Macaca fascicularis: one gene and its partners. The protein of the gene in region 1 binds, or shares a complex with, the protein of each later gene. Links are inferred from orthologs where the notes say so. Each region holds a gene or a part of one and is shown in the gene's direction. Other genes may lie near its edges.

Region 1 (3,510 bases):
ACTTTTGCTGACCGGATGAAAAATATTGGCGTCATGAATTATTTAAAGGTGAGAATATGGGCTTTGTGAATTTACCCTTGCGGTATTCTTTTTTTCTTTCTTTCTTTCTTTTTTTTTTTTTTTAATTGCTTGTGTCAGTGATAAGGTAGTTAACCTAAAAAATGTGGGACAAGGATAAGGCATCTGGATAAATAAGAGAAACTGAAAGAAAAGAGTATTATGAGAACCATTTACTTCTTGATTTTCAGTCACCTCCCGTGTTCTCTGACTGAAAATTCCTTTTTTTGTGTATTTCTTCTGGCTGCCAAAATCAGTTATTCAGAGATTGCAGTGGTATGATGATGGGTCAAATTCTGAAATGTTTGCTGAAGTCATTTGAGCTTAGAGTTGGTGTTTAGAAAAAGGAAAGAGCTAAACAAGTTGGGAATTTAAATACGTGAAAATATTTTAGTACTCCTAATGTTTAGGTGGAATCTTGACCTCCAAATTCATATATTCTTTTGTAAAAGTCTTACTGAAAAAGATTGAGATATTTTCAAAATACTGTATCTCCCTCTCTCTGTTTTTGTCTCAAAGGGCACTTTTTCAATACAAGTTTGTAAATGCTTTGCTTTAAAAAAATGTTTTGAGTGTCTACTTTATGTGCCAGGTGCTCTTATGGTTTTGTTCTCTGGTAGACCAGATATACTGTGAGTGGAAATTAAATGGAGGCAGTTTACAGTTCTACTTAAGAAAAGCTTTCTAACTAAACAATTGGAAATGGGAATGGCCTACCCTGATGTGTGCTGTGCATCTGTTTTTTCAGGTCTAAACTGGATAGCCATTTGATTGTGGGGAGAGTGTGAAGTTTAAACTGTTGGTTAGGTCCCTTTTGGCTCCTAGAATCTCCTCAGTTGAAGTAAAGAAACTGAAAGGGAACCTCATTTCTCAATAAGAGTCTGAGAGTGATAATTAGGATAGATAAGAAAACTTTTTTTGTTGTTAATAATTTTAAAAACACTTATTGCCGCTTACCAGGTATTGTTCTAGACATGGTTCTCAATAGTAGAGGAAGATCATGTAAATGGCATTAAGTGTTATGGCTACCATAGTAGAAATGTAACATATAGTGAGAAGATAAAGGAGAAAATGGCCAGTTCTCTGGAACTAGAGAGGGTTAGGATTTAATGGGTAGGGGAATCAGGAAAAGAATGAAAGTGATACTTGAGATAAGTTTGAAAAAGCTGTTGGTTGTTCACTAGGCAGATTAGGGGAAAGCAGCCCTGTGTGGCAGGGGTTATAAAGAGTTCAGAAGCCCTACATCCAATAGTTTAGTTACTCTAAAAATCATTTGGGTAGAAGTCGGAGGAAGTAGGCTGGGCGCTGTGTGCTGCACCCTAGGAACTTGGATTTTAATTCTGTAGTCAGTGGGAGCCATTGAAGGAGTTTATGCAAATAACTAACAAGATGAGATTTCTTTGGTAGCCACTTGAAAGATGAATTGTAGGGAGGCAGGAATGGAGAGGCCAGTTGACAAATTATTGCAGTACTTTGGCTCTACCCATATGATTAATTGTAGTTCTAATTATTCTCCTCTTTAATGTCTTCCCTTCTTGTAATACTCATTCTTTGTATAATTATTCTTCCTGCTTCTCCTGTATCAGGGATACACTTTCCTTCCCATCTGAGCTGAAGTCATTCTTCAACATTCCTTATTAACATATTTTCTCTAAGCTTATATAGCATGTATAAAATAGTAATATTTATTGAATGTCTGCTATGAGCCAAACTATTAGGTGGTTTGCAAGTATTATCTCATTTAATCTTGAAAACACCCTTCTGAAGGGGCAATAATGTTCCCGTAAAACAAATGAGACTCACGAAGGGTGAATAATTTACCCAGGTTTATTTAGTTTTTAAGTGGTGTATTAACCAAGACACTCCATCTTCAAAGCCTCTTTTTTCCTCAGTATATCACACTGTCTTTTGTTTGTAAGTTTACATAATTTAGCTCATATTTGCATAGTGTTAATTGTTTCCTATGTCTTACTTCTTTGCCAGATTGTCCCCAACATCAAAATTTTCAATGTCAGGTTATTTGTATTCTACCAAGGTCTTAGCCCAGCATGTATTATATATTTACTGAGCTTTTTGACTAATGGTTATCAAATGGCTTAAATGGCAGTGTGCCCTTATTATTTTTGCAGATCTCCTTACAACATGCATTATACCTTCTGCATCATGGAATGCTTAAAGATGCTAAGAGAAATCTGAGTGAGGCAGAGACATGGAGACATGGTGAAAACACATCTTCCCGGGGAATATTAATCAACCTTATTCAGGCCTATAAAGGGCTTTTACAGTATTACACCTGGTCTAAAAAGAAGATGGAATTGTCAAAGCTTGGTAAGTAAATACAGGTAAACTTTTTCTTGTGATGAGACTGAGGGGCAGAGGGATCTTAAGGAGTAATCTAGTAATTTCCCTATTGACTTCATCCAGATATTACGGTGAACAGACTTTTTATGGATTTAAAATTCTTGATCCTTTATAATACTTCTGATATATAAAAGGCTTCAGTCACAAATTAGATGGTTCATAATTAAGTTCATGATTATTTTAGGTTCGTTGCTGTTTTGAATGTGGTTTAGACAAGGATAAACACAGCCAGACATTAGAGCAGTGAAGACAGGTTTGATTCAGTAACTACTGACAGGAGGAAGAGCTAAGCTCCATTCCAGTTTCTGTGGAGGTGACTTGGGGTTGTAAGGGGTGGGGGTGGGGAGGCTAAAAAGCAGAAGGCAGAACCACCAGTAAATTTTTCTGGAGTTTTCCCAGGCATGCATTTCAAGAGGGGCTGGCTGGGGTAATCCTGGGGATATGGCCTTGAGCTGTTAGAAACTATGTTACTGTCTGTTCAAGTTTTTATTGGCCAAGTTTGAGGCCTAGTTCAGAAGAGAGCTTAGAGGAGCCTGGCTGGAGTTTGGTCAAGAAGAAAGTCTTTGCCAATTTCTAAGAAAGGCTATAGGTTTTCTTTAGCAGTCATTATTACATATAATAAACATTTCTTCCTGTGTGCCTAGAATGGAGTTTAATTTATTTTGTAATATTATTATGTTATTTCTCAGAATAATATGTTTAAAGAATACGTCAAAATGGTCATTTCAGTTTTGTATAAAGGTTATAATGGACAATTTCTTGATTTATTGACTATACCAGAAGTTGACCATTCAGTTCTCAAACTGATTTCCCTTCTCTTAACCTTCAGTGCTGTTATCATCTTCATTTATGCCCAGATTTGCATTCATTGGAGCTGTGTGATTCTTTGCAAATTGCTTCCTTGTATAGTTTCTCCATAGTCTCTCTAGGATTAACCCCTTCTGTTTTCATTCTCCTCCATATCTTAGTCCTAAGTAAGTAAGACTGCTTAGTCCTAAATACTAGGACTAAGTAAGCAGTATTTCCTTATGTGATAAGTGGTATCTCCTTGGTCTCTGGGCAGGTAGTTTCACTAACTTCGACTCCCTTTCC
Region 2 (4,174 bases), on another chromosome or scaffold:
GTATTGTGGGACTGTTGGTTCTAGACCCTGTTGCCTATTTTCCGCTTGATTTCTACATGGTTCTAACTGGACAACCTGGGGCAAACATCACCAACACCAACTCCAGAACATGGGACATACCTAGGTATACCTTTCCACCTGCAGAAGATTCAATCATGCTTACCTGATCTGCCACCTGCCGGCTCAGCTGTCCCTTAAAGCCTTTCATGCCCAGGAACTCTCCATCCTCTTCTTCAGCAGCAGCTGCATCAGCTGCATCAGCGTCTACTTCTTCCTCGCGCAGGCGCTGATGCAGCTCACCCATATCCTCGAAGCTAGAGCCTGAGGTATCATCCATGTTCTCCATGTCAATCACAGCTGAGCCTCCGCCCTGTGAAGACAATGGCTCCTAGAGTGCAGGACTTTTCTGTTCCATCCATTAAGTCCTCTGCTCATCCCAGGGTTTAGGGCTTTGTTCTTCCACTGCTGAGGATACGGCTCGGAATCACTACAGATCATGCCACTCCATTCCCCCTCATATGCTCTCAGAACTCTTGGTTTCTAGCTTTGGCTGAATTTTCTAGCCTGGGAAACATACTACTAGTCTTCCATTCCTGTCTTTTTCCTACCTTACCTACCAAAGACTAAAAGGCTGAAAAAGTGCCCATTTCCTTCTTTCCTAAGCCCCAAACAAAACTATACACATAATATGTTTTCAGCGAATGCCAGTGAATCCCCACCCAACCCCACTCCATGCCTGACCCCGACCAACTTCCTAACTTGTTCCAAGAATACCTTCTTCCTAATGCCTCGAGCGGGCCCAGAGACCCGAGACCCTCAGGCTGGAGTACTAGTCTGGCCCTTTCAGGTCAATGTTAATCCTACTGACTTTAGTGTGCACGAAGACCCAAAGAAGAGAGTTTTGCAAATGGAGCGGACTTCCAGGCCCACAGGGAGAATCCTCAAGACACTTCTGGACATCGCTGGCCCTCGGGTTGCTGGCAGCTAGTGCCTTGGGGCCATTACCTGGATGTTTTCTTCGAACCCTCCCCATTCCGGGCCAGCTCCATTTCGGGCGCCGCCCGCCGGCGCCGCTGTAGTTGCCATGTCCCTTGAAGGCTCCCGTCGCTGAAGCCCGCGCTAGCCCCGCGCGCGGAGGAGTGGGCGAGACGTGGGCCTTAGTGAGGGAGACGTCCCGGGTCGAGGAGAGGTGGGATCGGCCGGAACACAAAAAAGAGAAGCCCGGATGTTTGGACAAAACCAACTTCCGGAGGCTGGGGACGTGGACGGAAGCGGGGAAAAGTCTCGCGATATTTAAGATTCCAGGCGGTGGCGCGTTGCCACGGAGACGGAGCCAGTCTACTAGGACGCACGCGCCAGATAGAGCCTCCAGTCTCGTGGAGAGATTGAAGATGGCGGCTTCTCAGGCGGTGGAGGAGATGCGGGGCCGCGTGGTTCTAGGGGAGTTTGGGGTTCGCAATGTAAGCCTTGTGGCCTTGAGCTCGGGCGGGAGGAATGAGAGCGGAACAGGGGTGGGTCTTGGGATTGGCGTGGGGATAGCCGTGGGCTCATTGTCCCTTTGTGGACAAACTCGTCCCTTTGCTCTAGGTCCATACCACTGACTTTCCCGGAAACTATTCCGGTTATGATGATGCCTGGGACCAGGACCGCTTCGAGAAGGTAAGTGGGGCCGAAGTTGTCTGGGGAGGGTTATGAAGGCCAGACCCTGTGGCCTGAGCAGCCTGTGTCTGTCTCAGCAGCTGCTTTTGGGGGTCGCTCCGTTTGTGTTTGTTGAGCAATGTGCTAGACGCTCCGTTTACAGGCCAAATTAGACACGGTTTCTATCTCTGCAGAGATATTCCGTCTTGTTGAGGAATGGTGCGTATAAACAAGTGCATCTAGTGTAATATGGTGAAGGTGGTTGATAGCGATGAAGACGGCAGGGTTGGGGTGGGGAGCATTCCGCTGAGACCAGGAAGAGGGGCCGAGAGGTACTTAACATTTCAAGAGGAGGGGACACCTGAATTGAACCTTGAATGGTAAGTAAAAAAAAAAACAGGAGTTGAATTATGAAAGATTTGAGTTTCACGTCAGTGAAGTTCAGGATATGCAGGTTTTGTGTGTATTTAGTCTTTTGTATTATTGTTTCACTTAGCTTAAAATAAGGGTTAAAATTGCATTTAAATAGATTACTGAATGTTACCCTTTATGCAACTGACCTAAATGTTACCCTTTATGCAGCTTATAAACATGATGTGTAAATCAGTGCCTGGGAAAATTTTACTTTTTTAACCTGTTGATACAAGGAATAAAGTATGAACAATGAAAAAGGCTAATGCTTGAAAAAAAATTATGACTTCTGTGACATGTGCTCCGGGAATGTCCAAGTAGTTCTGGCATGAGTGGTCGGCAAGATTGAAGTGTGTCACACTGTGGATGATAGGGAGCTTGAATAGTTTCTTAAGCAGACATGATCAGATTTGCAACCTTGATGGCTGGGAGGGAATGAGTTTGAGGAGGATCATATGGAGCAGGCAGATCTGTCGTAAGGGAAGCTGAGGTTGAAGATATGAACTAAGACTGATGGTAGAAATAGAGCAAAGGAAGAATATAAGGTAAATTTATGATTGCTTGGATAAAGGCTGTGGGGGTAGCATAAAATGACTTTTTCTGGCTTGGGAACTGCTTTTTGCTTTGTGGTATCATTTACTAAGAGGAGAAATGGGTCTGGGGAACAGGGATGATGATGCATTGTTTTCTGTATGTGGGGAAATCTAGCAGGCTAGAAGACTGCATGCTTGAAATGAGATCAGAAGTGAGATAAAATTTTGGGAGTTGTCAGAACAGATAGTTGCTAAAACTGTTAGTACAGTTAAGGTGACCTGGGAGAGAGACAAGAACCTGGCAAATTTAGAGATGGGTGGAAGTTGATCATCAGAGATGGAAGAAGAGTGGAGCTCAGAAACCAGGGGAATCGTTCAAAAAAGGGGATTTTTTTTTTTTTTTTCCTTTTCATGAGACACTCTTATCTCCCAGGCTGGAGTGCAGTGGTGCAATCTTGGCTCACTGCAACCTCCGCCTCCTGGGTTCAGGCAGTTCTCCTGCCTCAGCCTCCCGAGTAGCTGGGACTACAGCTACGCGCCACCATGCCCAGCTAATTTTTTGAATTTTTAGTAGAGACGGGGTTTCACCATGCTGGCCAGGCTGGTCTCAAACTCCTGACCTTGTGATCCGCCCCTCGGCCTCCCATAGTGCTGGGATTACAGGTGTGAGTCACCGTGCTGGGCCCAGAGGAGGTTTTTTAATCAATGTCAAGCATAACAGAAGTCTAGTAAGAGGACTGGGTAGTGTCAACAGGACTAAGCACTATGGTAGTTTCTGTTCTTTAGTGGAATAGCTTCTGTGGATGGTTTGGTTGGAAGCCATATTGCATAGGGTTTTAATGAATGGACGACAAAAATGGAGACTTTTTATGAAACTAAAGCACTGGGCGAGAAAGAATATTTAATAAGGGACATCTGGGCAAAGGGAGGTTTTTGGATGAGAGGATAATACTTGAGGGAATTATCTAAGGGGGAGGTATGAAGAGATATTACAGAGAGAGCAGGTTTCACTTAAATGTTTTTCCTGTCCCTCTAGAATTTCCGTGTGGATGTAGTACACATGGATGAAAACTCACTGGAGTTCGACATGGTGGGAATTGACGCAGCCATTGCCAATGCTTTTCGACGAATTCTGTTAGCTGAGGTATTGGCAGGCATGGTGACAAGGCTGGAGTTGCTTTGGGAACTGCACTGACACCTCACTTGGAGAATTGTCTCAAGCTGTCCTTCCCTCATTTTTCCTGGAATTTTGCTGAGCATTTTACCTTCTCATTCTTTGTAAATTTCTCATTAAACATTCTAGGAAGAGAGATAGCTCCTTACCTCTGGAGGGTGGGGTTGTGGGGATAGGTAGGGGGTCTGTTGGGTTTTTGCAGATAAGTGGTTATTTTTCCTTGGGCAGGTGCCAACTATGGCTGTGGAGAAGGTCCTGGTGTACAATAATACATCCATTGTTCAGGATGAGATCCTTGCTCACCGTCTGGGGCTCATTCCCATTCATGCTGATCCCCGTCTTTTTGAGTATCGGAATCAAGGTAAGAAAATGAAATTTTGGGAGAAGTGGACTGTCTGGGTTCAAATCCTGGTTGACT
Region 3 (4,209 bases), on another chromosome or scaffold:
CATTTACATTTTGCATTGAGCCTCACAAATTACAGAGCTAGGCTTGCTGCTGAATATGGCAGTGAGGGACATGCCATACCAGTCCTGGAGCTTAGTCACTGCCCAGCCCCTGTGGATCAAATGCAGTGTCAGACTTTTTATCCCCGAAATTGTCCAATCTATGGAGCAAAGGAGGGTAAAGAGACCAGATTACTTTTAAGGCACGCGCTATCCTAAAATGATGTAAACTATAAAATAAGATTAGACAGCTTTACTGGTTTTTGCGGTGTATCATATGAAAACAGAAGTTTGAAACCAGAAAAATCAAACCAGTTCAATCCTTTTAAAAATTTCTTTGGGAGGCCGGTGGCTCACGCCTGTAATCCCAGCACTTTGGGAGGCCGAGGCGGGTGGATCACCTGAGGTCAGGAGTTCGAGACCAGCCTGACCAACATGGAGAAACCCCGTGTCTCCTAAAAGTACAAAAAAATTAGCAGGGCATGGTGGCACATGCCTGTAATCTCAGCTACTTGGGAGGCTGAGGCAGGAGAATCGCTTGAACCCGGGAAGCGGAGCTTGCGGTGAGCCAAGATCGCGCCATTGCACTCCAGCCTGGGCAACAAGAGCGAAACTCGGTCTCAAAAAAACCCCAAAAAACCGAAAAACAAAAAAAAAAAACAAAAAACTTTCGAAGAAAAAAACCCCACCAAAACTAAACTAGTTTACACAGCTTAATCTTAACTCAGGAACTGGTCAAGGAACTAATGGTGGGGGGCGGGGGGGATGTAGGAGGAAACTGAGGAAAAAGAAATCCTCCACAGGTCTCACTTGTGACGTGTTAGCCAATTCCTGGGAGGCAGAAAGGGTGAGCTCCCGAAACAGGTGCAAAGGTGGGGAGGAGACCTGGGCGTGCTACGGCATAACACTGGCGTCCAGCACAAAGGTTACAAACTTCGAGTAACCTTCCCGAATATTTTCACACACAAGGGTTTTGAAGGCAAAAGTAGACACAGGATGACAAAACACTCATTCACACATCCCACCCGTCACCCTCACCACATACTCGGGACCAGGTTTAGAAAGCCGGGAGACAGCTCAGCAAACGCGAGACCACCGGAAACGACCCGGGCTGAGAGGCTGTTTCCTCGCAGTTCTCATCCACTCACAATTGGCCGCACATTTTCTTTTTGTTATTTGCCGAAATGTTCTTGGCTATTCCACTTACCGAATCGGTCACGCAAGCAAAACACCAGAATCCCGATCTCCGCCTACGCCAACCCCGCCTCCTCAGAGTAAGCGAGCTACAGCTCCGCCCACGTTAGTCGCTCCTCCCTGCGCGGCGAGAAAAATGGCGCCCCCGCGTCGCGACTCCTCCCACCGCTCGCCTTCTTCCCGGGAGCTAAATTGTATCGCGAGATTTCTGCCTGACTATTACTTGGGCCGCGGGGATATCCCACCCTTTTCTTCCGCGCGGTTGGAGGACATCGGCTAGTTTTCCGGAGTTGGAGGACTGAAATCGGGAGGGTGGTGTGTGCAAATCTCCAGGACTCACGCACCAGGCCAGTCGCAGGTTTTGGCCCGAGGCCTGGGTTACGGGCAGCAAGTGCGCGGTTGGGGCCGGTGTGAGGCGGTTTTAGGTAGGTTGCCAAGAGGGCAAGGCCGTCTGGGCTTGTTGGGCAGGGGAGGCATTGCATATCTGGGGTTTCGGCCCCTGCGTTGTTCCGGAGGATTGAGCCTCGGAAGTCGGGCCGAGAGGGTGAAGGGATCACGGTTGCAGGCCACTCCGCGCCACGCGGCTGGTATGAGGCCCACAAACGTGGTTGTAGTGTGGGCGGGCTTCATTATATCTTGAGATGGAGGTGTTAAAACGTGTTGCAGACAAGTTTAACCTTCTTAACGTAATTTAAATGATTTAACCTTCATATGTGAGGTACCCATTGATAGCGCCGGTTTCCTGGAGGTTAGGCGCTGCCCGGAGAGACGCGCTGGTGGTCACAGAATTAGCTCCGGGTAAAGCGCCGCTTTCTGCCCACGTGGCCTCTAAGAATTGCAGAATTCCAGCGGATGCATCGACACCCAAGTAGGAGTGTCTTCTAAACACTAAGAAAAAAGTGATTCTTGAGCTAGCTTTATTTTGATAATCCCTACTTTAAAAAAAAATTAACCACAGGTATACCATTAATGCATGGGGCCAAATTTTTGTTGAATTCCGTTTTTGAGCATTCGATATATAATGACTTCGTAGAATCCTGTACTTAAGCTAATAAGACGTACTACCAGAAAATTACCACAGGGGTCCATTGGGCATTTAACAAATCTGAGCTCTTGGTAACCTTATCGTTTTATATTTTAAATGTTTTGCTAGTTCATCCTAGGATTTATATGCAATGACTCATGTTAGGTCCCAAGAAGCTACAGAATGAGACAAGAGATTGACTAAGGCAAGTACAATAGTGAAATAAGTAGTTATCCTTCATTTTTGTTGCCATGCCTATTTTTTTTTTTTTTTTTTTTTTTTTCTGAGACAGGGTCTTGTTCTGTCGTCCAGGCTGGGGTGCAGTGGTGCAATCTCGGCTCACTGCAACCTCCACCTCTGCTCAAGCGATCCTCCCGAGTGGCTGGGAGCACAGGCACGGGTCACCACACCTAGCCAGTATCTTAAGAATTTTTTGTAGAGACAAGGGTCTCCTTGTGTGCTGAGGCTCACTACATACAACTTCCACCTCCCAGGCTCAGGTATTCACCTACCTCAGCCTCCTGACCACAGGCGCGCGCCACTAGCCCGGCTAATTTTTGTATTTTTTGTAGAGACGGAGTTTCACCACGTTGCCCAGGTTGGTCTTGAGCTCCTGGGCTCGAGCGATCCGCCCGCCTCGACCTCCCAAAGTGCTGTGTTACACAGGCCTGAGCCACCCAGACCAACCTGTTTTTTCTTTTAGCTCACAAGAAGGAATCTTTTTTTTCTTCTTTTTTTGGCATGTTGTATACTCTACCATGGGGATGAAAACACAAAGAATTATGATAGTTTATTGAAAAAGGTTGAGAATTCAGAACTTGTCAGTTTCCACCAATAATGGCAAAGATACAGTATGACAAAGTTCAGTTACTTAAATGAATCTAGGAATGAAGAATCTAGGAATTATAATGGAGAGGTGATCAGGGTCTGTTGATTGGAGATCCTTTTCCTGGTTTATATAGGGCACATTTTGCCTTAGGAATTCCCTCTTTGATCTTGGAAAATGGTTTTTAATTTTACATTAATACTGTATTGGTAATTGCACGTTAGTAAGTGGCTAATGATAAAACTGTATTTTCTACTTATATTGAAAGATGCTTTTTTTGGAAGTGACAGTACTTTTTTGGAATCTTGTTCCATTGAATACATTTAGAGGGTAAAAACTGAAAGAACCTGTGAATAGAATTTCTGGATTTCTTTTTAAAGAAATTGATCTGAAATGGATAAGAAGGTTAACCCCGGCAAATGATTTTGCCTAAAATCAGTGGCATAGTCTGACCATGTTGAATATTATAGTAGATACTGTGTCAATATTTAGGGAAGCTTTGTCACATTTACTAAATTTCATAATTTCAGAAAACTGTTATAAAACAAAGCAATTGATGGATAAATCAGGAATAGATTCTACCGACCATGTGACATCTGATGCTATGGAACTTGCAAATCAAAGGTAAGTGGGTTTTTACTGGAGAACTGAGTGGATTCAATCATATTTATTGTATCTGAATTATGAGAAATTATTTTATATAATGAGTGACAGTAAAGATGATTTTCAGGAATTGGGAAAGAAGGAAAACCAGATTTCACTGACCTTCCAGGTTTATCTAGTTAATGTAGATTGATAATAGCATTGCAAATACTTTAAATTCAAAATGTGAATATATTATAATGGGACACATTCTTCAAGAAAAAAATGTATTCTTTGGGTCATATTAGCATCTCTTCCAGACTACCTCTTCCTGTTTCTGTCTGGTAGGCTGTGTTTGTTTTACTCACTCTTAGCAGTGAACCAAACCATACAGCCTTTGTGGAGCTCATACACCATACAGCCTTTGTGGAGCCATACGTTATCTTAAAAGATACATAGTTTTTTGCTAAGCTGAGCACAGTGGTGCATGCCATTAGTCCTAGCTAGCTACTTGGGAGGCTGAGTCAGGAGCATCCCTGGAGTTCCAGGAGTTTGAGGTTGCAGTGAGCTGTGATTGCACCACTGT
Region 4 (4,129 bases), on another chromosome or scaffold:
GTCTTGGGCAGGTCCTCAAAGTTAGGGGCCTAGAAGCTGAAATTAATCTACGAGTGGTAAATCCGCCTCTCCTATATGCCAGTGCCCCCAAAAACAAACAAACAAACAAACAAAAACAGGACACACCAGATCTTGACAGGGCTTCCTCCCTGTTTGTGAAACGTGACAGAAGTGGGATCTGGAAGTCCTGGGAAAACAATCTCATTTCTCCCAGGAGACAAGAGGAATTACAGCAGCAAAGAGGCAGGCCGAGTGGAGGAGAAGGCTGCATGCCAGGGGAGAGTCGAAAGGGGCTGGGTGATCCAGCTGGCCGAGATGCGGGAAGTAGAGCCTCGGTGTGGGAGACTGGCAGCCTGAGAGCCAGGAGCAATGGCGCTGCCCCAGAAGCGGTGGCTGGAGGCTGGGCCTGCTGGAAGCAGGCTTCCTTCAGATGGTCTTCTGGCTCCCTGCGTCCTGTCCTGATAACCTTTCCTCTGAAAAGGGGAGGCAAAGACAGACAACCACAGCCATGGTAGTGGGAGGGTGGGTGGTGGACCCCGTCCAGGCCTTTCATCCCCGGCCTGCAGTTTAGTGAACCGGGAGACGTCTCGTCGGAGGCTGCTCCGCTGCCGCCCGGAGCAGCGAGAACCGGGTGCTGGGCTCCCCTCGCGGCTGCCCGCCGCCGCCGGGGGGCAGCGCCTGCGGCCTGCTTTCCCAGGGCCGGCCGAGGCTTTTTGACAAGCTGATTGCGTGGCGGGGATTGGCTGGTCCGGGCGTGACGCCGGTAACAACAAAGGTGGAGTTGGAAGAAATTAGATTAAAGGAGAGAAAAAAAATTAAAGGGGGAGCTGGCAAAAGACAGGAGGTATAGACCGAGGGGGAGATGCGCCAAGTGGTGTCTCCCGGTTCCGACTCCCCCCGCCGCCTCGACCCCAGAAGATCCCTCGCGCAAACCCACTGGGATTTTGCTCTTTCCCCTACCCCCGCCCAGTGACCGACGCCGGGGTAGGAAGGATAGCCGCTTCTTCTTGAAAAATCCCCGCAACTCCCACCCTGACACCCCTCACTACGACCCAGGGGGAGAACTTTTTGCTCGGACTCCTCGGATCCTAAACCCAGCGAAGAGGGGGACATTGATAAGCTCGTCCTTTTAAAACCCGGAAGGCCCTCGCGGAGCATGGAGATCGGATAAGGCGGGGTGCTCCCTCGGTTTTCCGATGTGTTGCAAATCTAAGAGCTTCTTTCTCGCTTTTTTTTTTTTTCCCCTGTAACTACCCCCCCTCCCTTTTGCTTCAGGGTTGCAAAAGCAAAGAGCAATAAAAAAAAAAAAAACCGCGCACACACTCAGACACACACCAGTGGCGACAGGGGAGAGTTGGAAAGACGCAGGAGAGAAGCAGGAGGCAGGAGGCAGCGGGGATGGAGCAATGGGAGCGGGAAGCAGGCAGGTTTCCTTGCAAATCCCCCTCCGGCCTCACGCCGCCTCGCCAGCCCCGGCAGGGGAGCGAGGACCCCGGCGAACAGATGGAGGAGTGGAGCTCGCTCTAGGCAGCTGGGCTTGGCCGGAGAATGGAGGAGCCACCAAGCGACCGGCTGATTGGAAGAGAAACGCAGAGCGATGGAGGCGGGGGTAGGAGGACGATTTCTCTGCGGGGACTGGCGGCGGCGTACACGCCCGGGTCGGGCGCTGCAGAGCTTGGCTGGCTTTCAACCCGCGCTCGCCGGCTCCAGCCCCGCGCGCCCCCACCCCTAGCCCTCCCGGCGGCTCCGCAGGTGAGTGCGAGCTGCGGGCAGAAAGATCCAAAAGTCTCAACACGCCCGCCCTGCAAAAAAGGAAAAAAGAAAAAAAAGGAAGAAAACCATTTTACTTAAAAAAAAATTTTTTTTTTGTGCAACCCCTAAAGCAGTGGGAGGGAAGGGGTGAGGCTGAGCCGCCCGGAGGAGGCGGAGGGGCCAGGCGAGGCCGGGGTGGCCCGGGAGGCGGCGGCGCCGAGGCGGCTCTGACGGGCAAGCGCTCGGAGCGGCGCTGCGCTGCGCCGAGGCGGGCGGGCGGGCGGGCGGAGCGGGGCGGGCGGAGCGCGGCGCGTGGGGCTCGCCATTAGCCGTCGCTCCGCTTCGCCATCTCGGGCTTTGTCTGGCGACTCGCTGCCCCGGCGTCGGCTGCAGCGGAGCTGCGGCTCGGCTGTTCCGCCCGCCGTGCTCCCAGGTGCCCCCGGCCTGCGCTCCCATCCACACGCTCGGTAAGTGAGCCCGGGCGCCGCGGATTTCGGGGGAGAGGGGTTGCTACGAGTGGCGGCGGCACCGATCTCCATGCGCCCGGGCAGGCCTGGGAGCCATGCCGGGCTGGATTGAACCGGCTCCCACAGCGGCCCCTCCGCCGGAGCCCGTCGTTCCCTCGCCGTTTCCGGGGTGTAAAGAGCAACGGGGATTTTTTTTTAATGCAGAGATTTTCGGTTTTGGGTTTTTTTAAAGTTTCCTATGTACCGTTCGGCAATGAGAGGATCGCGAGGTAGGCGCCGAAGCTGGACGCCGCGATCGGCGTGCGTGCGCCCCAAACCAGTGGCCACGCTCCGGGGGATGAGGGTGGGCGCGGACCGCTCGCTCCGGGAGGCGGGAGAGAGCTGGCCTGGAAGCCCCAGTCTGAGCTGGGAGGACTTGGGGGAGAGCTCCGGAGCAGGGCTGTGGGCGCCCCCCAAGCCTTCCTGGCCGCCGGGGGCCCCTCCGGGCACCCTCTCCGCGGCCGCGCCTCGGCCCTCCCTCCCGCGCCGGCAAAGCCTGCTAGTTCCCCCGCGGGTCTGGCGAGGTCGCTCTCGGCGCCCGCCCGCCCGCCCGCCCCGGCTCCGAGCCCCGCCGCCATCCGGGCGGCTGCGTGTCTCCCTGCCCCGGCCCCCCCCTTCCCCGGCGGCGGCGGCGGCGGCGGCAGCAGCAGCAGCAGCAGCCGCCGCCGCCACCAGCACCACCACCACCCCCCTCCCCTCCTTCCTTCCCTCCGCCTCGGCCGCCCGGGTCCCCCCAGCTCCCGCCCCTCCTCCCAGCTGCCCCCCGCGGAGCCCGCCCGGGCAGGCTGTGGGAGGGAGCGGAGCCGGCGAGGCGGGCGGGCTGGCGCTCGCTCCCCGGGGGTCGGTGTGCGCTCTACGGGGAAGGACGCGCTCGCTGCCCCGCTTCTCCCGCCCCCCCTCCCGCTCCTCCTCCTCCCTTCTCCCTCCTCCTCCCCGCTCCGGCGGCTGAGGCTGCGGCGGCGGCGGGGGGTGTGCGAGCTGAGGCCGGGGCCGGCGGCGGGCGGGCTGCCTGCAGGCGGAGGGCGCTGTGCTTTGTGCTTTTCGCCGCGAGGAGCAGCAGGCAGCAGCCACAGCCGCCGCCGCCGCCGCCACAGCAGCAGCAGCCGCCGCCCCAGCGCCGCCGCCTCGCCCGGAGGAGGAGCCGCTGCCGCCGCGGGAGGGAGCTGCGGCTGTGCCCGGCCGAGCGGGGGAGGGCGCCGCCACTCAGAGCCGGGGAGGGAGCCGCCGGAGCGGGAAGCCCGGAGGCCGCGCTGCGCCGGGTAACCGAGGCGGCTGAGGACGCGCGCTGGGTTCGGGGCCGGACAGCAGGGAGCGAACCGCGGGTTGCGGTGGGCGCCCAGCAGGGACCCGGAGCGACCACCGAGCAGGGGACCGGGCGCGAGCAGACCAGGGCACTTGGGAGGACGCCGAGAGCCGGGGGAGGGGAAGGCAGGAAGCGAGGCCTGAGCCGAGCCACGGCCGCTGGCGGAGGAGCCCGCGCTTCTCGGATCCGGCAGGCGCAGTTCTCCCCGGCCGCCGGAGGGGGCGGCGGGGCCGGTGAGCGCTGCGCCCCCGCCTCCCGGCCGCCGTCCTCCCGCCCTCTCCTTGGCTCGGCTCCCCGGAGGCCGGGGCGGGGGCGCCGGCGGGGCTGGGCCGCAGGCTCGGGGGAGGAGGCGGCGGTTCCCGCCGCGGTCGCGCCTCTGTGCCGGGCTCCTCCGTGCGCGTCGGGGTGGCTGGGTGGTGGCGGCGCCTCTGGCCGGGGTGGGTGGCTCGGGGGCGGGGGGCAGGCTAGGCCGCTTCTCTCCGGCTGCTCGCCCGCCTGTGCGGGCGGGGACGGCGAAGGGAGCCCGGGAGGGGGGAGCGGCGGGAATCCGGATCCGGTCCCCGGGGGC

Evidence for each region. The genes of interacting proteins can lie anywhere in the genome.
Region 2: TAF1A (region 1) and POLR1C share a complex: the UniProt entries of both Homo sapiens proteins name them as parts of the pol I pre-initiation complex. The link is inferred for Macaca fascicularis from reciprocal best matches to the Homo sapiens genes TAF1A and POLR1C.
Region 3: TAF1A (region 1) and TAF1D share a complex: the UniProt entries of both Homo sapiens proteins name them as parts of the transcription factor SL1/TIF-IB complex. The link is inferred for Macaca fascicularis from reciprocal best matches to the Homo sapiens genes TAF1A and TAF1D.
Region 4: TAF1A (region 1) and UBTF share a complex: the UniProt entries of both Homo sapiens proteins name them as parts of the pol I pre-initiation complex. The link is inferred for Macaca fascicularis from reciprocal best matches to the Homo sapiens genes TAF1A and UBTF.

Annotation. Positions count from the first base shown.
Region 1 is NC_088375.1:80,567,660-80,571,169, reverse strand, and holds part of TAF1A (TATA box-binding protein-associated factor RNA polymerase I subunit A), read left to right. Parts: coding exon 1-48; intron 49-2,186; coding exon 2,187-2,385; intron 2,386-3,510. UniProt on the Homo sapiens protein: Component of the transcription factor SL1/TIF-IB complex, which is involved in the assembly of the PIC (pre-initiation complex) during RNA polymerase I-dependent transcription.
Region 2 is NC_088378.1:128,003,808-128,007,981, reverse strand, and holds the start of POLR1C (DNA-directed RNA polymerases I and III subunit RPAC1), read left to right. Parts: upstream 1-1,370; 5' UTR 1,371-1,391; coding exon 1,392-1,460; intron 1,461-1,587; coding exon 1,588-1,659; intron 1,660-3,618; coding exon 3,619-3,726; intron 3,727-3,984; coding exon 3,985-4,117; intron 4,118-4,174. Other genes in the region: protein YIPF3, read right to left, coding at 164-370, 1,006-1,086. UniProt on the Homo sapiens protein: DNA-dependent RNA polymerase catalyzes the transcription of DNA into RNA using the four ribonucleoside triphosphates as substrates.
Region 3 is NC_088388.1:92,775,362-92,779,570, reverse strand, and holds the start of TAF1D (TATA box-binding protein-associated factor RNA polymerase I subunit D), read left to right. Parts: upstream 1-1,405; 5' UTR 1,406-1,616; intron 1,617-2,344; exon of another isoform or gene 2,345-2,420; intron 2,421-3,571; 5' UTR 3,572-3,597; coding exon 3,598-3,665; intron 3,666-4,209. UniProt on the Homo sapiens protein: Component of the transcription factor SL1/TIF-IB complex, which is involved in the assembly of the PIC (preinitiation complex) during RNA polymerase I-dependent transcription.
Region 4 is NC_088390.1:65,276,758-65,280,886, reverse strand, and holds the start of UBTF (nucleolar transcription factor 1), read left to right. Parts: upstream 1-1,325; 5' UTR 1,326-1,752; intron 1,753-2,104; exon of another isoform or gene 2,105-2,219; intron 2,220-3,040; exon of another isoform or gene 3,041-3,098; intron 3,099-3,463; exon of another isoform or gene 3,464-3,794; intron 3,795-3,857; exon of another isoform or gene 3,858-3,998; intron 3,999-4,129. UniProt on the Homo sapiens protein: Recognizes the ribosomal RNA gene promoter and activates transcription mediated by RNA polymerase I (Pol I) through cooperative interactions with the transcription factor SL1/TIF-IB complex.